Linked DNA regions of Lonchura striata. The protein of the gene in region 2 purifies or fractionates together with the protein of the main gene of each other region. This does not show direct contact. Links are inferred from orthologs where the notes say so. Each region holds a gene or a part of one and is shown on either strand. Other genes may lie near its edges. The genes, in order: TWIST1, BTRC, HIVEP1 and PER2.

The links.
Region 1: the proteins of BTRC (region 2) and TWIST1 purify together in Homo sapiens (affinity purification with western blotting; 4 studies listed by BioGRID). This does not show direct contact. The link is inferred for Lonchura striata from reciprocal best matches to the Homo sapiens genes BTRC and TWIST1.
Region 3: the proteins of BTRC (region 2) and HIVEP1 purify together in Homo sapiens (affinity purification with mass spectrometry; 5 studies listed by BioGRID and IntAct, counting the BioPlex papers as one, with this or other methods). This does not show direct contact. The link is inferred for Lonchura striata from reciprocal best matches to the Homo sapiens genes BTRC and HIVEP1.
Region 4: the proteins of BTRC (region 2) and PER2 purify together in Homo sapiens (affinity purification with western blotting; 4 studies listed by BioGRID and IntAct, with this or other methods). This does not show direct contact. The link is inferred for Lonchura striata from reciprocal best matches to the Homo sapiens genes BTRC and PER2.

Annotation. Positions count from the first base shown.
Region 1 is NC_134603.1:126,560,735-126,565,664, reverse strand, and holds TWIST1 (twist-related protein 1), read right to left. Parts: upstream 1,093-4,930; coding exon 523-1,092; downstream 1-522. UniProt on the Homo sapiens protein: Acts as a transcriptional regulator. Inhibits myogenesis by sequestrating E proteins, inhibiting trans-activation by MEF2, and inhibiting DNA-binding by MYOD1 through physical interaction. This interaction probably involves the basic domains of both proteins.
Region 2 is NC_134609.1:19,680,847-19,688,229, reverse strand, and holds the start of BTRC (F-box/WD repeat-containing protein 1A), read left to right. Parts: upstream 1-4,362; 5' UTR 4,363-4,454; coding exon 4,455-4,502; intron 4,503-7,383. UniProt on the Homo sapiens protein: Substrate recognition component of a SCF (SKP1-CUL1-F-box protein) E3 ubiquitin-protein ligase complex which mediates the ubiquitination and subsequent proteasomal degradation of target proteins. Recognizes and binds to phosphorylated target proteins.
Region 3 is NC_134603.1:91,367,828-91,374,839, forward strand, and holds the start of HIVEP1 (zinc finger protein 40), read right to left. Parts: upstream 3,005-7,012; 5' UTR 2,617-3,004; exon of another isoform or gene 2,476-2,616; intron 1,670-2,475; 5' UTR 1,596-1,669; intron 1-1,595.
Region 4 is NC_134612.1:2,127,899-2,135,017, forward strand, and holds the start of PER2 (period circadian protein homolog 2), read left to right. Parts: upstream 1-4,115; 5' UTR 4,116-4,224; intron 4,225-4,436; exon of another isoform or gene 4,437-4,536; intron 4,537-7,119. UniProt on the Homo sapiens protein: Transcriptional repressor which forms a core component of the circadian clock.

The DNA.
Region 1 (4,930 bases), on a different chromosome or scaffold from region 2:
AAGGGACTGCTGGGGTGGTAGGAAACCCTCATCGGGCAGCACAACGGGAGGACATCACTTCAAAATACGAGCAGCACCAGCAGCACCAGCAGTGGCGGCAGCAGGAGCCGTCCCAGCAGCCCTGCCGGCTCCGCAGCGTTTGGTGAAGAAGAGACCTCAGGCCGGCCCCATCTGGCTGGGGCACACCCGCGCGGCCGCCGCGTCCCGCCCGCAGCCCACCCCGCCGGCAGCGCCCGGCCACGCGTGGGCCCCGCGGGGCTCGGGGCGCACCTCGGGCCGCGCAGGAGGAGGGACAGGCCGGAGTGGGAGAGGCACCTCCGGCCGCCCCGCTCTCCGGCTGCTCCGGGAAGCCAGGCCCCTCCGGGCGGGGTGCGGGCCCTCTCGCCCCACGGCCACGCGTGCTCAGCTCACGGCGCGGCCGGCGGCCTCTCGCCTCCCTCCCCCCTTTCTTCCCGCCGGTTTCGGGGTCCCTGTCTTACCTAGGGCTCCTGCCGGGGGGATGCGGGTGGGGGACGCCGCCTGCTAGTGCGATGCGGACATGGACCAGGCGCCCTCCATTCTCCACACCGAGAAGGCGTAGCTGAGCCGCTCGTGGGCCACATAGCTGCAGCTTGCCATCTTGGAGTCCAGCTCGTCGCTCTGTAAGACCTGGTAGAGGAAGTCGATGTACCTGGCCGCCAGCTTGAGGGTCTGGATCTTGCTCAGCTTGTCCGAAGGCAGCGTGGGGATGATCTTCCGCAGGGCGGCGAAGGCTTCGTTCAGCGACTGCGTGCGCTGCCGCTCCCGCACGTTGGCCATGACCCGCTGGGTCTGCAGCTCCTCGTAGGACTGGGGGCTGCCGCCGCCGCTGCTGCTTCCGCCGCCCCCGCCGCCCCCGCCCGCCCCGCACTTCTTGCCCCGCTTGCCTTGGGCCGGGCTGCAGGGCTCGTCCGCGGCCCCGACGGCGCCGCCGGCGCTGCGGCGGCTGGAGCGGCGCTTGCGCCCCCCTCTCTTGTTGTTGGGCAGCTGCTGCCGGTCCGGCTCCTCTTCGCTGTTGCTCAAGCTGTCGTCGGCGGGGGAGACTGGAGAGTTTGACTCGTCCTGCTGCATCATCTCTGGGGGGAGACGCGAGAAGCGGGCCGGGAGGGGGGGGAGGGCAGGGAGAAGAGGGGGGCACCTAACCCGCCAGCTCCCCCTTGATCGGCTGCTTCGCTGGCCTGCGAGAAGGAGGAGGGAAGGAAGGAGGGAGGACCTCACTTTGGGGGGAGGGGGGATGGCATCAGGATCCAAGAGGAAAAAAATAAAAAGGCCAACCAAAAAAAAAATATCCCTCCCGATCCCTCCTTGGAGCCCCTTCGAGGTGTCTGGGATTGGGAGAAAGTTGAAGACTTGGAGGTTCTTATAGCTCCTGCTGGCGGAAAGTTTGGGGGCAGCAGTGTCATTGGCCTGACGTGGAGAGGAGGGACTTTTGCTGAGTTTTATAGGAAAGTTTCCGCTTCCCCCCCTCCACGCCCTCCCCCAATTATTTTTTTTCAAGCCATTCACAAGTGATCTGGCTTCCCCACAGGCATTCACATACATCTCTACCCCAACCTCTTTCTCCGTTTCCCTCTCCGTGGTTTCTCTCTCAAACTCCTTCGGTTAGCGCTCGGCTTTGGGGTGGTGCTGAGGGCCGGGCCGGGAGGTTTTGGGGATGCCCAACACCCCGTGCGCTGCTGCGGGAGGGTCAGCGAGCCGCTCAGAGCCTGTGCTGGGGCAGCCGCCCCGAGCGGCCGGGGTAAGCCTGCACCTCTCGGGCTTTCTTCGCCGCAGCGGACACGGCTTGTAGCAAAAAGGAGGAAAAGGGAATTACCCGCGGCGCAGCATCAAGGCGCATCCTAATTTTGACCCGCTTTAGCACACGCCGCACTTCCCAATCACTGAGCGCCCTGGGATCTGACTAGCGGAGTGAGTCGCACATTTCTGGGCTTGGGGAGGGGTGATGGCATAGCCTCGTCCTGCCAAGCTGAAGGACTAAGCTCGGAGAAAGCCATCTTCAGAGGTGGAAGCAGCTGGGAAACCAAGTATTGGTTCGTATATGCATAAGCACCAGTCCCTGAGCTCGGCTTAAGAGCAACCGGGAGGATCCGCGTCACCAACCGGCACACCGGGAGACGGGAGGGTATACAGACCCTCTTTGCCCACACTCATTGTGTCCTGAGCACTCACTTCAGTCCGTCCTCCCACAAGGCACCCGAATCCGGCACTTCCTGGGAAAAGAGATTATTTATTTTAATTTCTCTTCTATGTCTGCAGCCAAAGCTGTTTCTTCCCATCCCCCGCCTTTGTGCCTCCTTCCCCGCTCTCTGGCAGCACAGAGCAGGTGGTGTGTCTTTTAAACAACAGCTCAGATTCAAACGGGGAGCGCCTGGGAGGGAAAGCTAGAAATTGCCATCCATCAGTAAACGGGGCGAAGTTCTCTCTGCTCCCTGCGTGGGGACCGCGCTCCTCTGCTGCCGGCCTGGCAGCCACCGCCCGGACGGGCACGGTGCGGAGCGGAGCTGGCAGCGCCGGCAGCGCAGAGCTCCCCGGCTTGTTTGAGGTGTGAGGGCGGACAGGGAAAACGGAATGGCAGAGGAGCGATAAATCCCAGGCATGAAATAAAACAAGGCTCGTGGAAGAGCGCTGACATCTTCTCCGGGGAACAGAGTCGTCTCTCTCCTCTACCTGAGGACTGACTCCCTTTCCTCCGAGCAGAGGCGTCTCATCCCGGGAGCTGGCAGGGGCCAGGACCCTGCTTGGCCGCCGCCGAGGGGCAGCTGCCCGCCCACGGCCCTGGCCCCGGCCCCGCCGCAGCGCCGTCCGGCACCCGCCGCCGCCGGAGCTGTCCCAGCGCTTCTCCGTTCGCTGCCCCTCTCGGCGAGGTCTCCTTCTTGGATTTCCATCCCGGGGTGCGAGCACATAGCAGTCTGCCCAAAACCTTCTCTTTTGGCAAACAGCTGGAAAAAGGACCGGGGAGAAAACAGGGACCGCCTTAGCCGGCAAGGGAAGGCACGCCGCACGCAGACCCACAGTGAGCCTGCACGGCTTTCTCGGCTTTCGGCTTGTCCCTGCTGTGTCAGGCCTCTTCATTCAGCTTAACACTAAGAGCTTCAGGGGTTCTCTTGTGTTGGCAGCAGCTGCTGATCCCAAGGTAAGAATAGCTGGCTCTCCTTTCACCTCCCTTTCACCAATAATTTTGTCTGTACCCAGAGCCTCACTGCTCCTCGGGAGTGTTGAGCAGTGTCATTACAGAATCAATGTTGGAAACAGTAGTGATGAGCATCTGTAGGTGGCTCTAGGGGCCTTCCTTCCTTCCTTCCTTCCTTCCTTCCTTCCTTCCTTCCTTCCTGCCTGCCTGCCTGCCTGCCTGCCTGCTTTCCTATCCACCTTCCTTCCCTCATTCTTCTTATAAGAAAAATAAAAATCACAGGGCAAAACCAAACCTGGATAGCTATTACCTTGCTGGGAACAGGATGCTGCCTGAAAGGAGGGAGGGGCAGCACATCCTGAGCTGATTTGGCAAGATGCACAACTTGTCTGGGTAACCTGAACTTCGAATGGGATGCAGGACATCACCTGCTTGTCATGGGGCGGGAGGAGGGTGTGTGGAGCAGGGTGTATGGAGAAGTCAAGGACAGATGGGGAAGTAGTGTTACATGGTTTATAACAATTGAAAACATGGAGAAATGTAGGAATGGAGTTGAAAGAGGAGTAGTTTACCATAGTAGATGGCTGGGCTTAGTGTTAGCTACTCTTTGTGTAAACTGCAGCAAAAGAAACCAGCAGTGTTTAGCAGGACTCATGTGGTTCTACCTGTGACCTGCACACTGCTGCATAAACCAGGACAACCCTCCCTGCCTCACCCCTTCCATCATCTTCATTTTGGGTTTTGGTTTAACTCTGACTCCCAAATTATGGGCTCAGGAGCAAAGGCATATATATAAGCCTATGATGTTACTGCTAAGATTCACACAGGAGTGCAGGGTCCAGAGAAGCTGTGGTGGCAATGATCTGTCCTGAGGGACTTGGGCTGGGCTGGGCTGGCTGTGGGAGTCTTCCTGGATCCCCCAGGCCTGCTGGCAGGCAGCAAACCTGCCTAGTGCTGGAGTGTGTGGAGCTGTGTTGGGAGGAGGGTGGATGTTTCAGAGAGCCATGTCTGGGGGTCTGTGTGAGAGAGAAAGGCATACTGGTGTGTTTATATGTGGGGATGTGTTTGTGTGTGCATGCATGTACTGTTGATCTTTTTCAGTGTGAGCACATGTCAGAAGGGAAGGGGAGTGAAGTCTGAGCAGAGATTAAAGAAAATAAATTAAATTCTGGTTTATTTTGAAATCTACAATTCTGATGAGGATTGAGGTGAAGCCCTTGCATTTCACACTAAAATAATAATTGTATTTTAGTTATGCAGTGTTAAACCATCTGTTTTGAACCTCAGCTAAGGTAGTTCTTCAGACCACTTTAGAGCATGGGATAAAGGACATCATGTCCTGTTTTTCTCTATGCATAGGCTTGGCTTAGGTAAGAACTCTCCTGACGCCACGGGCAGAATTTCAACCCTGTTTCATTCTTTGGCAGTAGCAAGGAAAACTGCAAACAGGTCCAGGACCTTTCTAGAGATACTTCCAGGTCCATTCTTGCAAGCTTCCCTGGGCCTCAGCTCAGGAAAATATATGTCATGGAACACTCTTGCATGGAACACTGGCAGGACCCAGAACATTCCAGCATTTTGTCACCTCTGCAGAAAGGTACAACCCTGGTAAAGCAGCCATCTAGATTGCAGGTATGGCTGTGAACACAGAGCTAAATAAATTACAAACTCCTGGTAGGAAGAAATGAAGAGTAAGTTGGTCTATGATGATCACTGTAGTCATGGTGGATCACAGAGAATTAGCTGTAAAGGGATGGCCCAACCTTGATGCCAACCCTTCTG
Region 2 (7,383 bases):
GGCCCAGTGAATCTGGTGGGGGAGCAGCACCATGCAGCCACTACGGTAGGATGGGAAGTGAACTCAGGTTTAATCTGCTCAGGATTCCTGTAAGTATTCCAAACTTTCAGGATGTGTTCTCTCCAAGACACTCTGCCTTGGCCATCCAGAGCCAGTGATGATGATATTAGTGCAGAGAGGGCTCTCAACCCTCAGGAGGGTCCAGGGATCCTGACAAGTGGGAAGACAAGAAGTTTTCCACCTTCTGTTTGCTGAATTAGCAGCTCCCAGTAACTAAGAGGGACCAATCTCATCTTTCTTTGCCCTGGTCCACTTGCCCTTACAGCAACTTTGCCATTTGTGTGGTTGTAAGAAAAAGCCAGTTTGACTTGTGAGCAAAGTGTTTAGTTAATATTTCCTGAGTATAATTTTCCTGCCAATATAGTCAACTAAACCAGCTTACTGTGCTAGCAAATAGGTTTCGGAGCCAGCAGAAGGTGAGAAGAAACATGTGGCTGTCAGACACAGGAGAGAGGATGCATCTCCCCTTTGCAGCAGCATAAGAGATATAATCAGCTCAACCCATAGACGTTAATCTATAGCCTACACTACTGTGGTTTCTCTGCAGACAAGCCTTTCTCTCTGGTCATCCCCTCCATACGTGCAGCTTTGCATGTCTACTTATACCAAGTAATGAGTACTGTCCTGCTCAGAGAACATAATTCATACTGTGTGGTCCTGGACTCCCTCCCTTCCCTCTTGCATGACTGAGTGTCCCTTTGTCCTAAAAGAGACCCTTTGTCCACAGGCTACAGGGAGGCATTCTGCCCTCAGTTTCCCTAGGCCATTGCACACCAAGTGCCTTTAGCTGAGATGCCAGAGCCCTGTGTGGGACATGACACTGTCAGGAAAAGCAAGGCTGGAGAGGCTGAGCTGACCCACTGGGATGTTTCTGGTTGCAGGGGTCCCTGTCACCTTCTCACAAGCTCTTGTGCTACCAGAGATTGCCTCTGTGTTCAGCCCTGTGAAACACAGCCCCAGTAGCAGCTGCTGCTACTGCTGCTGCCAAGTTCTTGCAGGACAAAGGGAACAACAAAAGATTCTTCCACCAGTGAACTCTCTTATTTTCACTTCCCTTCCTCTTTGCTCCAACTTGGAAAGAATGAAGCCAAGGCACTGCCAAAGTAGAGGAAAACAAGGCCAAGCCCACACAGATGGCAACTCCACAAATTTAATTTAAAATCATCCTTTATTATTCAAAATTTAAAAATTCAGGCAATAATGCCCAAAGGAATCGCACTGATTAAAGTTCCCTAATGTTTTATGGCCAAATCTTGCTGCTTCCACCATGGGTCACTGGGACAAGAAGTGAAACCCCTCTGGAGTGCAGAGAAAGGTAGGGCTATACCTGCTGTAGATCTCTTAACCACTTACTTACTGACCCAATCAGCTTCACTTGAAGCAAAGCACCAGCTGTTCCTTACCCAATTAATGACTGCCACAGCAAATTAACATGGCGTTACACCAGGCGTGGATGTGGTCCACAGAGTCTGGAATGCACAGAGCAATATGCTATTGTAAAAATAATCACAGTAATATCTTTACTGTTAGGTAGCATCCTTCATCTGGAAGGATGGTGAGGCCCCTGAGCACTATATGGGCTCGTTTCAGTGCTCTGCAGCGAGGGGGTGGAGGGCAGGGTGGGGGGGTATGATTGCTGTTTCAAGGAAAAGTAAAGGGCAGCTCTACTGTGGCAGAGACAGCACTGACTACACATGTCCAGTTCCTGCAACTCAAACAAATAATTGGTGGTAAATCTATTGAAGTGTGCCTTCTCCCTGCCTTATGAACCACACACCTCTCCAATTGGTCTCTGCCTGCTGTCTGATGTGACACCTTGATGGTGTCACAGCTTGGTGTGCTGATCATCATCTCCTCTGGCCACAGAGGACTCAGCAAGCTGGTGGGTGCAGAGCTGGCCATTCAGCTGCAGGGAGCATCCCACAGTGGGAAGGGGCGACAAGGTCAGGCCACAGACGTAGAGATCCAGGTGAGGTTCTCACAACAAGGTGTCACTCCATGCTCAGCGCTGCTGGGCCAAGTGCTGTTTCTGGGAGTCTTTCCTCAGTCACTCTGTGCTGCAGCTGAGGCTCCTGCCCTGTCCCTCTGCAGTGGTTCTGTGTTGTGGGGTTCTGATGGCAGTGTGGCAGAGTAACCAAGCCATGACCTTCTACCACCAAGTTTAAGTCCAGCACCTAAACACTCATTAGTTCTGGCTCCACAGAGTTCAGGGACATTAATCCCCTGTAAGTTACAGTCCAGACAGATCAATCAGCCTGGAGGGCTTTGGGACACTGGTGTCTAATGCTGAAGCATTACACTTTCCAATTTTCCAACAATTAGGTCGGCATCAGATATTATTGACAAATAAACCGTGCAATCAAAGCTCTGAGCCTGCCACGCTGCTACCAGGAGGATCCATTTACACCCCAAGCCAGCTGCAGGATGCCTGGAGGAAGGAGACATGGGAGAGCCCTGCCTCGAGCACCAGCAGCCCCTGCTTGCCTTCAGTGCTGTTACAGGAGCCCTCCCTTTGTAATTATAGGATTCCCTCCTTATAATTACTGTTATTTATATAATCGTGGTGAGTGTTCTCAGTGCTGTCAGCAGTCTGGAAAGTGCCCAGCCCCACTAGAGCCAAGCATTTCAGGCATTTCACTGCTAAGAGTCTGGGCTTAAAGCACGACAGCCAAGAGCATGGCTGGGTCATGAATGGCAGCCTCTTGTCCTGGTGACATGGAAGCTTTATTTGGGAGATTTCAATGCCCTGGGATTGTAGAGGGAGAACATCAGGTTATCTCTTCCTCCTTCTCTTAGACCACTGCTCTGAGAGCATGGATCATGCCAGCATCACACCCTGCAAAGGCTGACATTCCCTGTCACCTCTGCTGGGTCACTGGCTGCAGCAGACTCTCCTGGCACTGGATCACAAGGCACTACCTAGTCACATGCCCTGGGAGGAATCCAGTAATGGGCACATTCTCTGCATCCTCTGTTTTCTCTCTAATCATTCTGCCTGAAAATCTGGAGGAGATGGAGTGTTTAGAGAAAATGAGGGAAGGCACTGGGACTCAGGAGATACAGGTTTTGTACCTGCCTGAAGCTTCACTTTTGTTGCTGTGTCAAACAGGGAATGAAAACAATGGGTTTGAGCTGCACGTGGACATACAAGTGCTGATGTTTGTGGCTGGCTTCTTTGCATTTAAATAGGAAGAAATTCAGAGTATCTCACTTAAAATGCAGAGCCAAATATATAAATGCAGCAAGGAAAAGAACCAGAGTGTTTTACTAGATGACAAACTGGCTAGAAATCAGTGTTTTGTTTGCTATAGAGAAGTAAAAACTTATCAGGGTTTTATAGTTGGTATTAAAACCATAGGAAGCAATTCCTCTCTGCTGCTCCATACACGTCAGCTTAAGTTTTTGGGCACCGTGAAAAATGTAGAAAAACTGGAAAGAGATGAGACAAATTTAATAAAGAGGATTAGAAACAATGGTTGCCACGTGAGCTGATGTTGTAAGTGTGCAACAGAGAAACAGAGGAGATAAGATAAATTTTCTGTCTATATGCAGTTGCTAGTCAAGGAATGCTGATCAATTCTTTTTTTCTCTTTGCTGCTTAGTACAGCAAAGAAAACTTGGTCCAATTTTCAGGGAAAATTGATCTAAAACCATTATTAGAAGAAGGGCACCAAAGCACCACGGGAGGCTTTTTATGTACAGGATGGCTTCAAACAAACATCTCTCCAGAATGATGTCAGCCTCCTTGATCCATGCCAGTGATGCAAATTTTCCAGTTTCACATCCCCTGCGGACCTGGTAACTTTTCCCCAGACATTTCTGCACGCAGTGCAGGGGCTCAGTTTAGGTTTGCCAGCAGCAATGGGCTCGGGCAGCCAGCACGGAGCGCAGCGGGAGCAAAGCCTGGGAGCAGCCGAGCCCTCCTGCGGCGCGTTTGGGAGCGCGGGGCTGTGACTCGGGAGCCAGCCGTACCTTCCAGCCGCAGGGAAGGACTGGAGCTGGACACTGCCCACACGGCACCTGCAGGACCTCGCCTCCCTCCCTCGCCCGCCCCGAGCGGCCGCGTCTATCCTCCCCTGGCCCGCACCTCGCACCCTTAGGCCCACGTTACTACAACCCCCGTCGGCCCTTGCGCTCACACAACGCATGCGCCAGCCGGCTCCCAGCGTGCCCCCAGGCCCGGAACCTGCCGGGATTTGTAGTTTTATCCGGCAGGTCGGCCCTTTGCCAGGGACGTGACCGGGGACTCCATTTCCCGTGGGCCTGCGGAGCGGCGCATGCGCGGTGCGGCAGCGGGGCGCGGTGGGGGGGCGCGGGGCAGCGCAGGTTCCCGTCTGCGCTGGCTGCGGCCTGCACTGAGCGGGGGGGCGGCCCCGGCCCGGCCCCGCAGCGCCATGGACCCGGCCGAGGCCGTCCTGCAGGAAAAGGCGCTCAAGTTCATGGTGAGCGGCCGCGGGGGTCGGCGAAGGCGGCGGGGGAGGGTGGGCAGCTCTGCCTGTGGAGGGGCTGCGGGGGAACGGGGCGAGGTGGAGCGGGGAGCAGCGGGGAAGGGGAGCCGGGCCTCGGGGCTGGCGGGCGGGGAAGGCGGTGAGCGGGCCCGGGGAGGGGCGTCCTGCCGCGGGGAGGGCAGCGAGCAGGGTCCCCAGATCCCGGCAACGGGAGCCTCGGGAGCAGGGGGAGGCGGCTGCAGGTGCCACCTGGGAGAGGGGGAAGTTAAACCGGAGTGAGGCAGGACCTGGCAGAGGGGCCCGCAGGCACCGGCAGGCTTTGCGCATGTAACTCTTGGATTTTTTTCTTTATTTGTGCACCTTAGACTATCCTGCTGTACTGCTCACCATCTCTCTGTAATTTATTTTTCCTCCCATTCTCCTGCCAGATCTCTAAATCCTGGCAGTTAAGTGTTTCACCTGCTGCTGCAGCAGCACATCACTGATAGAACTGTGGGGAGCATATACATTGTTTAGGTTTTGAGTTGGTATGGAAAACAGTACATGCATCCAAGATGCTCTTCTAATATAGCTAATTTCCATAGATTTGAGGCATTGTGTACTTAAACGGTAGCTTCATTCTTCTTTCTTAATTTGTTGATGTTTCTGAGCATTTTGGCCAGAAATGTAAAATTTAGAAACGAAAACAAAGTGTTGCCAACTAAATTGAATGTGAATTCCAGGTGCCCTGAACTCTTCTTCCCTAAGGATATAATTCAAATGACTGGCAGCACTTGCTAAAAGTTTGTTTTGGATTAGTGCTTCTAGTGTCACAGAATTAAACTTGAGCTCATCAGGAAGAAGGAATGCTATTAAATTGTCAGAACATATGCCCAAAATGAAATTGAGGAAACACTAGCTGCAAATTTTAATTTCTAATTGAGCTTCAATACACTTGTTTGACTTTTGGCTTTTCATCTGGAAGAACTTGTTTCTCTCTTGAGACTTTTTAAGCCATTTGCTAGTAGTCTCCAAGTTTGTCAGATTTATAGAGTCTCAGCTAGGTGAAGTGGAAAAATGCTATGGACACCTAAATCAGCAAGATATCAATCAGAAGTAATGAATGGCCATCTTTGGTGTGGGGTTGGCCAAAGGAGTGTCCCAGATCCTGCTGCACTTGTGTTTGGCCAAGCTTGGTAATTACAACCTGCCTCTAGATAGTGAGTTTCACATCCCAGAAAGTTTCTGCTGAAACATTCTTGTCTGCTGCCAGACAGCATTGTGAGCATGCTATGCTGACTTCTCATACATTGCTTTTTGGCCCCCTGTGCTATGATTTTCATTCAAGGGCTTAGTCCGGGTGGTTTGAGATTGTCTGTAAGATTGGGTCTGGAGGCTGAGGGAATCCCTGTCCATCCTGCAGCTGGCAGGATGATGATGGACTCCAACAATAGCTGATATAGATGGACAACAACAGATATTGATGGACTCCAACAATAGAGCTCCCTGACACTGGGGAGAGGCATGCCTGTGAGAGGAAGCTGCTCTTCTGGGATATGCATCTGTTAAGAGCACCAGATAAAGGGAAGAATTATCAAGACCAGGCTGCACTGAGAGCTAAAAGCTAACCCACGTTCTTTCATGTTTTATTTAAGTGCCTCTTGTTTGCAAAATGCCTGTAAAACATACAGTGAAAGATATGACTTCTCTCTGTCCATTCTGAACTTTTTAGGGTTTTTTTGCTTACAGGTTGAGAATAGAGTAAGCAAAGCTTTTGTTAAGCACATCCCAGGCTTTTGCTTTAGTGTGCATCAGTCCAGAACATGGCTCTTCCTTTAATTCTGCTGATGAAGTGAAGTGTTTGTCAGACTTGGTGGGGTCTTCTGGTGTTCTGGAAGGGTGACACAGATAGATACATCAGCATACAGGAGCAATCAGTTGCAAGTATCATCCTGGCCCTTCCTGAAAATGTCTTTTCTGGTCCATGTAGCACTCAGACAGTGCTCAGGCACTGCAGTAGTGGCACTGGTACAGTTATCCACACAGAGGTAGCAGATCAGCTCATGCATCCTCTCAGCTAATGCTGAATCATTCACTGTGGATTACCCTGTCCATCAGAGTATGTGATACGCTTCATTTGCATCTTCCTTATTAGGTGGCTCACAGTTTGGCTTGTGATGGGCTTTGCTAATAATTATTGATTTTCCTGGGAGCTTCCCAAAGAGCATTGTAGGTAAAGATTCAAGTACATTTTGGAGGTATGAGGCCTATTGTCAAAGGCAGGAGAGACGGTTTTGGTTTTGATATGTGTTTGGGGTAGGTTTCATTTCATACTGAAAAGCAGCCCTCGAGGTGGTAGTTTGTTTATGCTTCTCTAGAAAATAATACTTTTTTTTCCACTTAAAAATGTGAGAACTTAATTTTTGACATTGACTTTGAGCAGCTCTTTTGAATCACAAGGTACCAGGCAAGATGGACTTAGTGATTTGATTTTCATTTTAATGTCCAAGTCTAACAGAAAAATGGGAAAGCTTCATCCAGTGCTAATATTATTAATTAAATTATTCTGCTTTAAAGCATCCATATTTGATGCTTTGAAAGACAAACAGTACTCTGTTGTTCTTCTCTATGCTCATGTCTGTGTAACTTTTTGATGGCAGTAGAAGGCAGCTGCCTTCTCAGTAGCTGGTGTTGGCTGGATTACTTGCCAATGAAGCAGTATTGCATTTAACTGATACCTGCTACATTTTCTGGTTATCTGTGCTCAGGTACAATATGTATAATCTAATACTTTAAGATTTAAGTAATTTATTTAATTTCATTTGCTTACTCAATTTACCTCTATGTCTTAATAAGACCTAATTTATTTCTGATATTAAATTGCTGTGTATGAACA
Region 3 (7,012 bases), on a different chromosome or scaffold from region 2:
CCACCATTCCCACAGTTTTCAAGGTTTTTACAGGGAGTTCTTTCAACCTACATATAATCATGTTTGTAAGACAGATGGGTATTTTAATCCCCATTTCACAGGGGAGAAACCAAGACAGGAAGATGCAGAGTAGCTCGCTGCATAGCTGTGGACTGACATGACACCACTTCTGCCTGAGCTTTTGGCCACAGGCGCTGTCTCTGGGCTATTTTTCCTCTTGAGTTCACTTAAATTATACCTTGAGAACACTTCCAGCTTACAGTGGTGGCAGTTTCTCTGCTGTGGGTAACCTGTCCTATGTCCTGCCCAGAGGCAACACGAGAAGCAAATGTAAGTGAAATCCCTGGCTAGTTTGCAACTGGTGGTTAGGGTAAGATAAAGTATTCTTTGCTGAACTGGAGATTCATGGAAAAATCAGACCCGCAAAGAGTATCTTCAGGAGAAATGTGTTCTGCTGCTCCTATTGGACAAGCAAATGACGATTCTTTATTATTAGAGACAGTGCTTGTCTTCTCCCTTGTCTGTCCCGCCCTCCACCCCCTCCCTTGTTCTTCCTTTGTCTGGCTTTTAGACTTGGGACTCTGACTTGCTAAAGAACAGAGTTGCTGTTACTCTAAGCGCAGCAGCGTGAATATGATCCTACAAGTGCCACAAACATAAATTCGTGTACCAAGTCTGACCAGTCACAAACCCAGGACCCTGCGACCTCTGAAGCTGGGTCTGAACCTCTACTTGTTCTGCTCAGCTCTCCCTTACAGTCTGTCCTGCAGGCTCTGGGGCACTTAGCATCTAGATCCTTCTTTGCCACTCATTGTCTGAAAGCCTCAGATTGTGATCACCAGAGTCATCAGGGAGAAAGTGTCAGATAGTGGCCCTTTCTCACAAGAAGCCTCCAGAAAAAAGAGCCATCACAACTGCTGCTGGTGCCAAAGGAGTTCTAGGCTACTCATCTTTTCACAAGGACCTGAGTAAGTTCAAAAGAGATGCTCCAGCCTGCAAGTTGAAATGAGACCATATTAAACCCCCTGCAGCCAGCAGGAAAAGTTTCTTCTGATAGAAGTAGTCAAACCACCTCCCACCTATCAGTGAAAATCAGCCCTCTCATCACACCTATGTGCACAGGAATGTAATAAGTGCCCTTATTATATTCCTGCAGACAAGCACAACTGTCTTAACAAGAAAGACTCAATGAGGTGTCAAAGAGGAGACAGGTCCTCAGGGATGTGTATCATGTGGTGGCAGCTTATCCTCCCTTGAACATAAAATCAGTCATTGCAAAGTCAGTTTGGGTCAGAGGACAAAACGAAGAACTGAAAGTCTGGCCCCTTGGAGCTATTTCCATGGTCTTCTGAAAAAGCAGCCAAAAAAGCAGCTGTGAGCTGGGGCCTCTCCTCAGCTGGTTCCCCTCCAGTGGGCAGAACTAAGGGCCAAAGGGCTGCCTTGAGCCCAGTTCAATGTCGTTCCAGCACGCTGCCCCCCGGTCAGGTAAAAAATGCAATCCTAAGGGCTTTGAAAAGGCAGCATACCAGCTGTTTATCCCGGGCAGACCACTTCATCTTTTTCTGTTTTTCCATCAGTAAAAAGGAAGTGCTTACCCACTCAGTAAAGTACTTTTGGAAAAGTACTGTGGATGATTGCTAGTAGGAGGCACAGAGTAATCTTCTCAAACCTGCAAATGAGGGAAATTCTTTAAAACTTTTCAGTGAGATTTAAAATGCCACATCAATATGCACAGAGGAAAAAAAAAAAAAAAAAACACAACACCACCTTCACTGCAGAATTTAGATACTTTTAAAATTTCACCTAAAAGGAGTCCTGAAGGATATAGATCCTCTTTAATTGACTATGTGTATACCTGAACAGGGAAGATTATTGAGGTTTTCTTCTCTCTAAAACTCTGCTGTATTTTCAGGACGACACCTATTTTTAAACATCCTCTCATTTTACTCTTGAAACCTTGTTCAGAAACTGTTTTTCTGTAATGGCTCACAGGTATTTTATATATAAATATATACACATACACACATTAGGCTCTCAAGAAACCACGATACATTAGGTAGTCTTGAATAATTCATTGTTAAGCACCCCATGATAAATCTCTAGTTGAACAGTATGTGATTTTGCTTGAATTCTTGGGATAAATTGAATGTGAAGCACTGTGGTAAATTTAACTACGCAGAGCATCAAATGTGAAAACTTTACATTGTACATTACATTCTGACATGCAACTGAGAATCATTATTATTAAGGCTTCGGGGAATTTTCAAGGGAACTTCTGAAATTCTGAAAAGAAAAAGAACAAGACTGAGTGCTGTTCTCTATAGAAGTTGAGATTTTCTCAGAGAAGGGAAATTCCATAAGTAGTCTGTATTGAATTAACATAAAGGTTTCACTAAAAGAACTGTTGTCTATTAGCTTATGCTCTGAGGCTTCTCATTGAGTACTACATATGAAAGTCAGAGGATCTTGGCTTACCTGGTACCAGAGGGTGCTTAGAGCTTTTCTAGGGCTTGCCACTCCTGCAGCGGGGCTGGAGAGATAGGGCAGCAACCGCTGATGTGAGGGGAGGTAATTTCCCCCTTTTCTGTAGCAGTAGCTGTCACCCCAGATACTCACAGCTCTCCCTTGTCAGCAACAGCCAGACGCTTTCCTGGAGGTAGGCAAAGGCAACAGCACAGGGACCTGGTCATGCACCACTCCTCACAGCCTGCAGCTCCAAACAAGAAGATGATCTCCACTGGGACATTTTGCATGGCAATATCCTTCATCTCCACCTTTCTCAAGATGTCCTGAAGATGAGTTGCTTTTCATTGTCCCATAAGTTGGTTCAGTTCTTTCTGATTTGGCATTAAATAATGCAAACTGTTCCATCAAAGAATTTTGGCACAACCTTTCTTTTTATTTATGTGTATACACTGCAGCTCTGTGTGGTGGTACCTGGTACCTGGTAGTCCTGTGGCCAGGAAAATGTACAAATCTGTCCAGCTTCAGGTTAATCACATGATATAGGGCACAGTTCACTGACAGAGCTTCACCTTTTTCCAGGTATTATTAACCAAACATTTCAATGAACTTCAACATCACTGATACCATATCTACTTATTTATATCATATTCATCTTAATGATATCAGAGCATCTCAGACAAGAATACTTGTGTTTAAGAGGCTACGCTAAATTCTCTTTTGGTGATTTTTTGTCCTTCTCCCTCTTTGGAAGAGTCCCAACTGCTGGGGAAGCTGGGGTGCTCCCCCAAGAGTAATCACAGGACAGCTCATGGAGGCAGGGGAAGAAAACCTACTTTAACCCTAATTTTACCACCACCACCACAGCCTAACATCAGCCTTCTTTCCTCCCAGCACATGAGGCCTCATGTGGCTGGTCACAGGACAGAGGTCAGACAAGAGACCAGGCGCAGAGCAAAGCAGCCAATGAGAAGGATATCTTCTAACCAAATCCCTGTGAGGTGTCCTTTGGTCCTGCAAGCCCTGGTGAGACCAGTGCTGAGCCCACACCTCATGCAGCATCCTCCCTGCTGGAGCATGAGACACCTGGTGAGGCCAAGAGACAGGGAGTCACCCTCAGCATTTTCCAGGCTGGCCCCACTCCTTGTCTGGCCAAACCATTTATGACGGCATGCCAAAGTCTAAGGAGAAAAACAAAAAATAATTAAAATTGTACTGGTTGAACCACTGTTGCCTTTTTGTCCAAGAGGAAGCCCCAGTGGCAGGCAGATAGTGTGACCCTGCTGCTGACTTGCCCTTAGCCAGATAAGGAGCAGGCTGGACCACTGGCAATGCTGTGAATGCCTCGTACTCAGCACACCACACATCCAGCAGGGTTTTGTGGAATGTGACATTAAGCACTTCTAGGAGGGAGATAGTTGCCACACAGAATTATGAGATCTGGAATGGAGAATTCGGGAGAAGGCAAAGGCTCATCTGAAGCGCATGGTATGATACCATTTGGGTTATAATAAAGGACTGAGCCAGTACAAACCCCCACCTCCTCCCAGAGATGGAGCTCACCCAGGGCCCTGAGCAGAGTCTTGTGTCCAAACATGAGACAAGTTTGAGCTTGGGCTGGTGCTCTGAAGTTAGAGTAGATGTACCCATGAAAAGCAAGTCCCAGAGCTTTTGGCTTTCCACTGAAAATTTCTTCTGTCTTTTCACAAAGAGATGCTTCTCTATAGGTCAGCAGGCTCTGCACTTTCACAGCCCTTTTACTCCCTTCCACCCTGGTATTTTTACTTCTGAGTAAGACAGGTTTCTGACCTTTTTTCATGAAGTTGCTCATATTTTCCACTGCATCTCCTTTTTTACCTCACCCCACCAGTTCACTCTGATCTTTCTTTCTCAGTAGCTCTAGGTTCTGAACTGCTCATTTAAATATGGTGTGGCTTGCCAGCATTTTTTCCTAAGCCTTTTATTTTATCAGTTAAAGAAACAGGAGACACACAAGGCACTTAACACAAGTGCACCTTGCCAAGATGCCTTCAGTGGTATGGTTTTTCTTTAGGTTTGACCACAAACATTTTAACATATCTGAGTGATTAAAAAGCATTCCAACCCATGCTTTCTTCCCCAAGTATTTCTGCCATTCAGTGGCCCTCTAGTATTGTTTGCCACAGACATGTCTGGGAGAGGTCTTTTAAATATCACTTTTTGAGCACGTTAAGTTAGCTTAGCAGCTCAAAAGTTGCAGGGTTAAAAAGAAATAAGCAAAACAGGCTTATTTTCTGTGGAAATGTTTTCCCTTGCCTCCTTCCCAGTACAGATATGAATAGAAGAAATCCACAAAGGAGAAAATAATCCCCGTTCTATTGAAGATTCTCAAGTATGTTAAAATTTACTTGCTTACTGGAATGTTTACTTTGTAGTCATATTGCAGATCACTAGGTACAGATCAACAACAAAGTTTCTAGTTCCTTTAGCCTTTATTCTTCAGAACTGTGAAGTGGCATTCAAATAGTACACAGAATATTTGCAGTGGTTCATCACAAACTACACAGTTCACCTTTTGTAAAAAATGCTCTATAATTTAAAGATGTTCAGTCATCCTTAAATCCAAATGGCTACAACAATAATTAAACATATGGCTTTGCTGTGAATTATCGTGGTTTTATGTCATTTCCCTGTTTATGAGGTCTCCTGAAAAATCATTTTCTCAAGTTGTGGCCAGTGATTTTATAAATCTTTTTAGTCTAAGGCTAAGAAAGTTAAGCTCCAATGCCTGAGGAGTGTAGAAAATTTTAAAAACACACTGTAGGGAACAAATACAAGTTGAAAACACAGCACTTGCACTCTTACAGCTGTCCCAAAATTTCACAAGGCCAACAGTGTAAAAGCCATGGATCTCATTTTCCAAAATTCTTATCACAGCAGTATGACTGCATCCTTTATCCATTTTCACACATTGATAAACAATTACCCATGTAACGTACAAGATAGAGGAAAGACAGACGAAGGAGAGGGAGAACTACAGTGAAAGAAACATGGGACAAGGCTGGCTTCTCACTGCAGTAAGGAGAGAAATGACTGGTGTTTGGTTTTTCATGGATTAGCTGCTGGCAGCTGCAGCATCCAGCCCTGTTTGCCCCTGACCCAAACTGCTGCTCCAGTCTGGCTTGGCAGCCTCTACACCGACTTCTTCACCTCCAGCTGCACATTCAGCCCTTCCAGAAAGTTGTGCCGTGGCTTCATCACATTCCAGTTGAAGCTCTTTTTCATCAAAAAGAAGTAAGACATTTTACAACTGGCTCTATCTTCTGTTTAAACGCTTGAAAGGCAACATCAAAACATGTTCTAGGGTGCAGCAGCAGGTCTCAAAGCTGTTTGTCAGGTGGCTTAAGAAGTGGTACAACAGAAAGAGCACACTATTTCCTTCAGAGGTGAATCATTCCCCAGCCCTGTCTTTAACGCAAGTGTCAAAGCCTTTTTTTAAGTCACAAAAATGCGATTTATATATTATTTTGACCAAACTATGGAACAGCCATTCTGATTAATTAAATGTGTGTACATCTGTGAAAAGTAGAATCTGACACTGATGCACTGTTAAATTTGCAGATAAGCTCATGGAAACACAAGAAGAAGCAGAAGTTAAGACATCGAATCCTCCACTGGCTTAGATTGTCTAAGTTCCTTCAAGATACTTAGATTATATTATTGCCATAGAAGTGCTACAGGAGAAGCAGCCAGTCAACCCATAAAACCCAGAAATGGTGTGTACTCACTTCTTTAAAATACTGGGTTTGTCTGCTTGTCCAGAAGAAATCCAGCATGGAGGCAGGCCAGCTGAGATAAAGAAAACCAAGACACATGAGGCAGATGCTGGACACAGATAGGAGACTAGCCTGTGAAGAACAGCTCAGCTCCCCAAAGGCTTCAGGCACCAGAGTGCAGTGAGGGGGAAGAGTACATAGCACAGCTGTGAGTCCCTCTATGGAGAGGCATTTCCTTTGTGGAGTAATTTTTCCTGTGCCTATCTTCAGGAAAGAATTTGTGTGTCTGTTAAGTCCCACTAATGCACTCTCAGAAAACCAGAGCATGTGCTTAAGGAGTTCTTGTATCAAGTTTTACAGGCATCATCTGAGCATGTGAGTTATCCCCTTGGCTTACTGGGACCATGCATTCCTGGAGTCCCTGATGATCTTACAATAGCCTCCACAGTGAACTCAAATGAAAAAACAAAGTGAATTATTATTATTAAATCAAGAAAGTTCATAATTGAAACATTACTGAACACCTCCCCCATCTAAGGCTCCATTTTGGGGTATCTGATCCTGTGAACAGCTTGCACAATGAGGCACCAAGGTCACCGGGGCTAACAAACCACAGGTTGTGCTTTCTGTTGAGTCAGAGGTTTTGCTGACAAACATTCAGAGCCAATTCTGCAATGATCCACCATGCATGTTCTTCCTGTTAAGACAGTAGTGCCATTCTAGTAATGTTTTAGAGATCTTTCTCTGGTAAAAAAACATATCTGTGCATTACTTTTTGTTGTCTCTTAAACAGA
Region 4 (7,119 bases), on a different chromosome or scaffold from region 2:
TGGCATAAGTGTCTGGATGCTTTTGAATGGTGAAGCCCAACCTGACGTAATCACTTTCTTTCAGGGCAGAAGAGGATGTCTAAATCCAACACAGTAGGCAGGATTGAGGATGCACTTTCCTGCCTGGCATCTCTTATTAACTCTCTTATGCTAATCTAATGACATGCAAATTTCATTTTAAGTGCCTAACTCTATAATTTGGTGTTCTTCTTGGTCTTGGATCCTCACTCCAGCTCAAAATATGTTCTTTGATCCCGTTTTGGTTTGGCTTTTGTGCTCTCACAGCTGTGATGTAATCAAACCAAAAACTTCTTTCATGGGATATTTTCAGTCAAGTCGGTTTCCTAATCTAAGTACCAGTACAATTGCATAATCACTGATTTTTAACTCAGTGGAGGTGGTAGGACTGTTCCTCTTGGTGGATGTTTAAGGACTTTGATCACCTTAGGCAGATCATGAAATCACAAACTATCACTCTCTGAGTTATGCAGGAAGCTTTAAACCCCTATTCAGCACAGTGAATTCAATGTCAAGTTCTCTTCATTCAGCTTTCTGAGTGGCTGACTGCAGAAAATGAGTTGCTAATACACACTAAACAGCAGGATCTCAGACCTGGACTAAAATCATGCTCATGGGCTTGTGGATAAGCACATAGAGGTATAGTGGGGGGAGATACACCCCTTCCATTTGTATCCTTCTAAAAGAAGAATTCAGGGCTCCTTCATGTGTCATTTTTCAAGATATTTGGAACATAAAATTACACTGCATTTGCCAAGAGAAACTGAATTTAATAAGAATAGCAAGAAAACAGTAAAAATAGGGACAGAATGAAAACCTGCTCTCCCCAGAAGTTGTTAGCAAAGGTTTTCTGTCTGGTGACAAGCAGACACTTGTGCAAAGGAATTCTGAACTGCAGCATATTTCAGGAACTTGCTGCTTGAGTTGAAGTTCTTTATAATGTTTTTTACATTCCTTTACATTTAATGAAAGCATTTTCAAAACTGTATGATATTTCTGTCTATTTGTTGCAGTTGATTCCTACACCTGCAATGCTTTTAGAAAAACCTGTCCATATATTTACTGGTAATGAATAAAATGGGTTTTTTCCTTTCCTCCTCCTTTGTCTGCACAGAGAGTAAGAGTGACGACTTTTGCTCATTAGCAAAAAAAGCCTTTCCGGATCTTTGCAAGAATCAATGACTGTCAGCGTCAGTGTAAATGGTGAGTAATTAAGACTAGGAAATGAAGAATTAGACGTGGGTTCCAGCTGTAAAGTATTGATTGTTTTTTTTTTTTTAATAATACACAGTTCCGTCAGTGCTGTGGAGTATCTTTGAACAGGCGACTTCTACAAGTGGATAGGGAAGCACAGTTTTTCAAAAAGGAGTCTTATTTCCTTAGCAAATCCAAGCAAGCAGTCCTCAGGTAGTTTTTCAGGTGGTCTCAAACTATTATTTTTCGATATTGAAAGACTTGGATTTTTTCCCCCTTTAAAAATGTAGATACTGTCAATAAGTTGCTGCTTATCAGACTGAATTGCTTCAGTTAAGCAAAAATTCTACTTTTTATATATGCTGGGAAAAGGTTCGGCATTTGCGTGTGTGCCTAAAAAACTACTGATGTAAGTGCGGGAAGCAGCGGGATTGCACAGAAAACCCCCAAGGAGCGGCATTTTCCCGCGGGGCCGCAGGAGGGAGCCGGGCAGCGCTGGAAGCTGCGCCCCAGCGCGCCGGGCAGAGCCAGCTGGGGCAGTGCCAGCGGGGACCTGGTGCACACACACACACATTTGTACTGCCATGCTCCAGGAGTTACAGCTGAACACACACGCACACAAAATAAACAAAGCTGGGGAAAAAAAACACCAGCATTTTAATGCTTTTCTTACAAGCTTTGTGTTCTTTAGAACCATTTGTGTGTGCATATATGTATTTTACTCCTGCCTACCAGACAAAGTGACCTTAAAAACAAACGTGTAGAACCCATAAAATTTTGCAATAACTTTATTTTGCTCTGTTCCATAGTAGATGAGTCAATAGCAATATTCACTCCTTCAGAAGCCATGTGCACGCACTCATTTCAAATTGGAGATGCCTGGAATAATTTGTATCTGCACACATGATTTATCTTGTGCCAATTTTCTGGAAGTTGCAGAATTTGGACTGAACTCAAATTCACATTTTGAGTAACACAGCTTACCATGTTTTTTGCTACATTAAATATAAAGCTGTAACTACTAAAAGGTGGTATGAACAGAACTTAAAAATCATTCCCATAAGTGTGACTGAAACAGCTGATTAGTATCCCTTTAAAATAAGCAGAACTCAAGTAATGCCTCTGGTAGTTACCGGGGTGGGAAAGGTACTGGCTATTTGTGGTGGTGGGGGTTACTCTTCTGCCAGGACTGGCATGTCCTGCTGCAATGGGGAATGTGTGTCCTGGGAACTCATTTAGCTCTAACACAGTGCCATGGTTTGCCATCCTTCTCGTATTTGTGATCTGATGGGGTGTGGGACAGTGTGGATCTCAAGGTTTCGCTTTGGTTGAAGTGCCTTAGTTGGAGTCTGTGCTAAAAGACTAAAGCCCTCAGCACACAGAGAGGGATGGGTATTTTTGGCATGTAACACGAAAAACAACATCCCATGGAAACCAAGAATATTATTCTACATCCCTTTAATCCTAAAGCAGAGAACTGACAAAAAGACAATGAAATTCTGGATGTGAAGACCTACCAACAACAAGTTGACCAAACTACATAAAGACTGCCTAATTAGGATTAATCTTAAAATTAGACTCCTCAGAGGAGCGCAAACTAAGAATGGTATCCTGGTAAGCTGACTTGTGCGTTGCAACAAATCCAGTTGCAGAATCTGGTTCTAATGCTTCCGCTGCCCACCCCCTCTCCTCTCCAGCAGTTAAATACTGCACAGTCCTTTACTCACAGGCTGTTTCTGTAACAGTCAGAGCATAAATACCTGTGTATCTAATGGACTTATCCTTAACACTGCAGTGAGGAAGGGAAGTGGCATTAACCTCATTTTGCAGATAAACAGTAGAAGCCCTGATGGTTGTCCGGTGTTTCATCCTATGGAGCAACTGCATACATGCAGTGAGTGTAAAACGCTGTCAGCCCGAATGTGGCTTTGGCACATTCTCTGCTCCTTCTTTGCAAAGTCATCTACTACAGCGGAGACAGAGGAAACTCAGAATACACATAAAGTAACATGAATTTCTCACTTACCGATTGCTCTGCTTAGCCTTGGGAGATGTGGAGACTGGAGCAGGGCCGAGGTGTTCAGCAGAGGATTATTGGGTTATCTCACTGAACTACTCAGGTTCTCGCACCAGTGTTGGATGGATGGTGCAGGGGCCTGAGCGCAAACCTGTGTGACTGATGTATAAGAATTCATTAAATTCTTTATTACTGTAAAATGGGAAGTGTCAATGGTCTCTGAAAGTTTTGATTCAACAAAAGCTGAAAAACTTCTTTAAACAGAGAAGTTTTTAAACACAATTCTTTAAACAGTTGGAATGGAAAGCCATTGTATGGTAACGTGTCACCATGCAGAAATACTGTTGCCGAGAACAGTACATACATTTAAGAGCTCGGAAATTCTTAGATCAATCATGGTTGTAGCTGTTCAGACTGATGCTGCCGGCCGGTCCGGGAGAAAGCTGCAGCCCTACGCTCTGCTGCGCTGCCCTTTGCTTTGTGACCCGGCGCAGCCTGAACAATACGCGGGGGCACTTTGGAAACCTCAGGGCGTGCACCCAGCGCGGGCGGCAGCACCGGGAAACGGGATACGGGCGCTGCTGCCTTATGTAAGCGAAGCAAGCGCCGGCAGGGTGAGCCCCGCGGGCTGAGCCCGGCAGGGTGAGCCCTCAGGGTGAGCCCTCAGGGTGACCCCCTCGGAGTGACCCCTCAGGGTGACCCCGGCAGGGTGACCCCGGCAGGGTGACCCCTCAGGGTGACCCCCCAGGCCGCCCCGCCGCCCTCAGGGCGGGCCCGCTCCGGGCTCGGCCGCCAACGGTCTCCGCCCGCGCGCGCGCGCGACACGTCACGCGCGGCTCCGAGCGGGCGGGGGCGGAGCCGCGCTCCCCGGGGGCGTCACGTGACCACCGGCCCCCAATCCATCCTCCCCGGCCCGGCGGTCCCGTAGCGGCGGGCGCGGGCGGAGGCGAACGGAGCTACCGCGGCTTCGGCGGGAGGCGGCGAAGGGGCCGGCGGTGAGTGCGCCCCGGTGGTGGCGGCGGCGCGGGGGAGGGGAGGGGCGGGCCGGCGGCGGGGAAGGCTCGGGAGGCGGCCGCGGCTGTCGGTGGAAACATGGTGCCACACGTGAGGCTTATGTAAAGTGAGCGGCGGCCCGCGCGGCCAATGGCAGCGGCGCGCGCCCCGCCCCCGCCCGCGCGTCCCGCTGGCGTCAGGCGGCCGCGGCCAATGGGCGCGCGGGCGGGGCGGGCGCGCGGCGGCCGGTCACGTTTCTGCCCGTATGAAGCCCGAGCCGGGACGCGCCGGGCCGGCGGGACGCGCCGCGCGCGGTGAGTGGGGGCCCGCCGGGCGCGCTCCGCGCCGCCCGAAGGGGCCGGGGAACCCGCGGGGAGCGGCGGGAGGGGGCGGCGAGCGGCGGTCGCGGGGGGCACGGGGGTTCCCCCGCCTCCTCCGCCCGCCGGGCCGAGGTTACGTAACCCGCGCGCCGGGGCTCTCCCGTTGCTGGGACGCTGCGCGCGCGGGGCGCTCCCGTTCCCCGGGGTCCGTCCCGCTGCCGGCCCCGGCCCGCCGGGGAGGGGGCACTCGGGGCTCCCTCAGAACGGCGGCTGTGACACGCCCCCCCCGCTCCCCGTGAAACCGCAGCGAGGGAAGCGGCGGCCGGCCGTGAGTCGCTTCCCGGGGCGGGGTGCGGGGCAGAGTGCGGCACGGCCCCCGCCCGTCCGGGAGCGGGGGCACCGCGGGGCCGGGGCGGCACCGGGCTCTCCGGGGGGCGGCGCTGGCCCCGGCCCGGAGCGGGGGAGGAGGCGGCGGGGCCGGACCCGGTCCCCGGCGGGCTCCGCTCCGCCGTCCCTGCCGGCCGCGGGCTGCGGCCACGTCCGTGCGAGGGGCGCGGAGCGGGGGAACCGGCGGGGAGCGCGCGGACCCCGGGGCGGCAGTGCGGGGGGACCGAGCCGGCTCCCGCCGGCCGGGCGGGCTGCTCCGCGGGAGGAGCTGTCAGGCAGCGAGGAACCGATCTCAGCGCTGCCGAGATGTGTGAGCTACAGGTAGAGCAGGCAACAGGTGCTGTCCATTTGTTTCTTGTGTTGCATGTACCTGTAAGACACTCTGTTCCTTGAGACGTGTGGTTGTGCTGCTGTTCACATTAGTGCATAGTATTACATGCATGATTACAAAACCCTTTATGTAAGTACAGTTTCATGCAAATTGGTGAGCAGCGTGGCAGCAGTCAAGCTGACGCTTTACATTTGACTTTTCGTAATAGGGTAAGTATTTAATAAAGGGACAGCATTTCTCTGTGTACCATAGGAGCTTAAAAAGGCCTCACAGGAGGTTGGTATGAGGTCCCAGGTACTTGGGAAACTACCGTGCCTCACAAGTGTATTCCAGTGAAAAAGTAACTTGGCTGAGACTGTGCACTGATTCAGATCAAAGAAACAGAATCATTAAGAATTGTAAAGACCTCTGAGATCCTTAAGTCCAACTGTTTTGTCCATATGTCCAATCTAAATCTACCCTCTTGCAGTTTCAAACCACTGTCTTTCATCCTGTCACCACATGCCCTGATAAGAAGTCTTTCTCCATCTTCCTTATAAGCTCATGTCTTTCTTTTCCAAATGCAAGACTTTGAGATTTATTGTCTTGGATATCTGAGATTGAATAGTTATCACAAGTAAAGGGAAAGAAGTGGAAATTATCTAGTGATTCTAGTGGTAAGAGTATATATCAAGTCAGAAGTAGAGTAAAAACCTGATTAGTATGGTGAGAAAACATTCCAAGTTGCCAGTATTGTTTCAGCCACAGTTTGATTTGTGTTAGGGAGAGTGCCCACATTGTTGCACTGTAACATCAAGTTCCTTCTTGCTTATGCTTGTACAGGTTTGAGTGCTTTTATGTTCTTTCTGTTTTACCTTTGTCTTTGAAACTTGCATGATTTCTGCAAAGTGGGGAAGTTTCACTGAAGGACTGGACTGTGTCCTTGCTCCATGTAAAGCTAGATGTTAGTCTTGAGAAGATGACAACACTGTCCTGAGGTGTGGAGTCCTGATTCTGAACTGTGGAGGTTGCTCACCTCACTAGTAACACACAGAGGAAAAGAGATGGCCTTTGGCCTGGAGTAGAAGAAGAAAAGTAAACCAAAACCTTCAGGTTTTGGCCATTTCAAGTGTGTATTTCAAGGCAGAAAGAAGATACTTTAGTTGGGTGTCATAAATGTGTGTCTTTCACTACAGTGAAAGAGGATAGTCTATCCTTTGTTGGTTTGGCTTGATGTAGTTCAGAAGGAAAAGACATAGAAATAGTTTTTTTTCTTTTATGCACTTCTTCATATTTGGCAAGTTTTTTTTATTTTGTTTATAATTCAAAGACTGCATGGTTTTGCTGGAATTTTTTTTTATTTGTCCGTTGGTGGGACTTGTTATAGACTTTCTATATTCATTTTAGCAAACAAATTCTGTCGGTGAAAATCTAAGTAATCCTCATTTTTACAATTTTCTGTTATTCATTTTAGATTTCCACATAGAGGCATTGAAGAGCCAGCATATTCTTGTCATAATACCTTCTCTGCTTTCTCTTCCTCCAGTCATTTGACTGTAAAGTGTCTAACAACACAGCTTACTTGATAAACTTCCTCGAACCTCTCCTTGAACAATATGCTCTTACAGTAATAAACTTTTTTAGTAAATGGAGATATTGATGGAGTTTAGTCTCAAAGTATGAGAATAGAGTGAAGTGGGGAAAGTGATTGGCAGTAGAGTTCTGGATGTTTCTTCTACTTCAGACATTTATTATGACCAGGAAGTGTTTGGCTTAGATACAGACTGATAAACAGTTTTCTTTTTCCTGGGTTCTTGCCTCACCCTTATTTCTCTAACATCTTTACAGTATTAGAATATGCTTTACTGCATTAAAAAAAA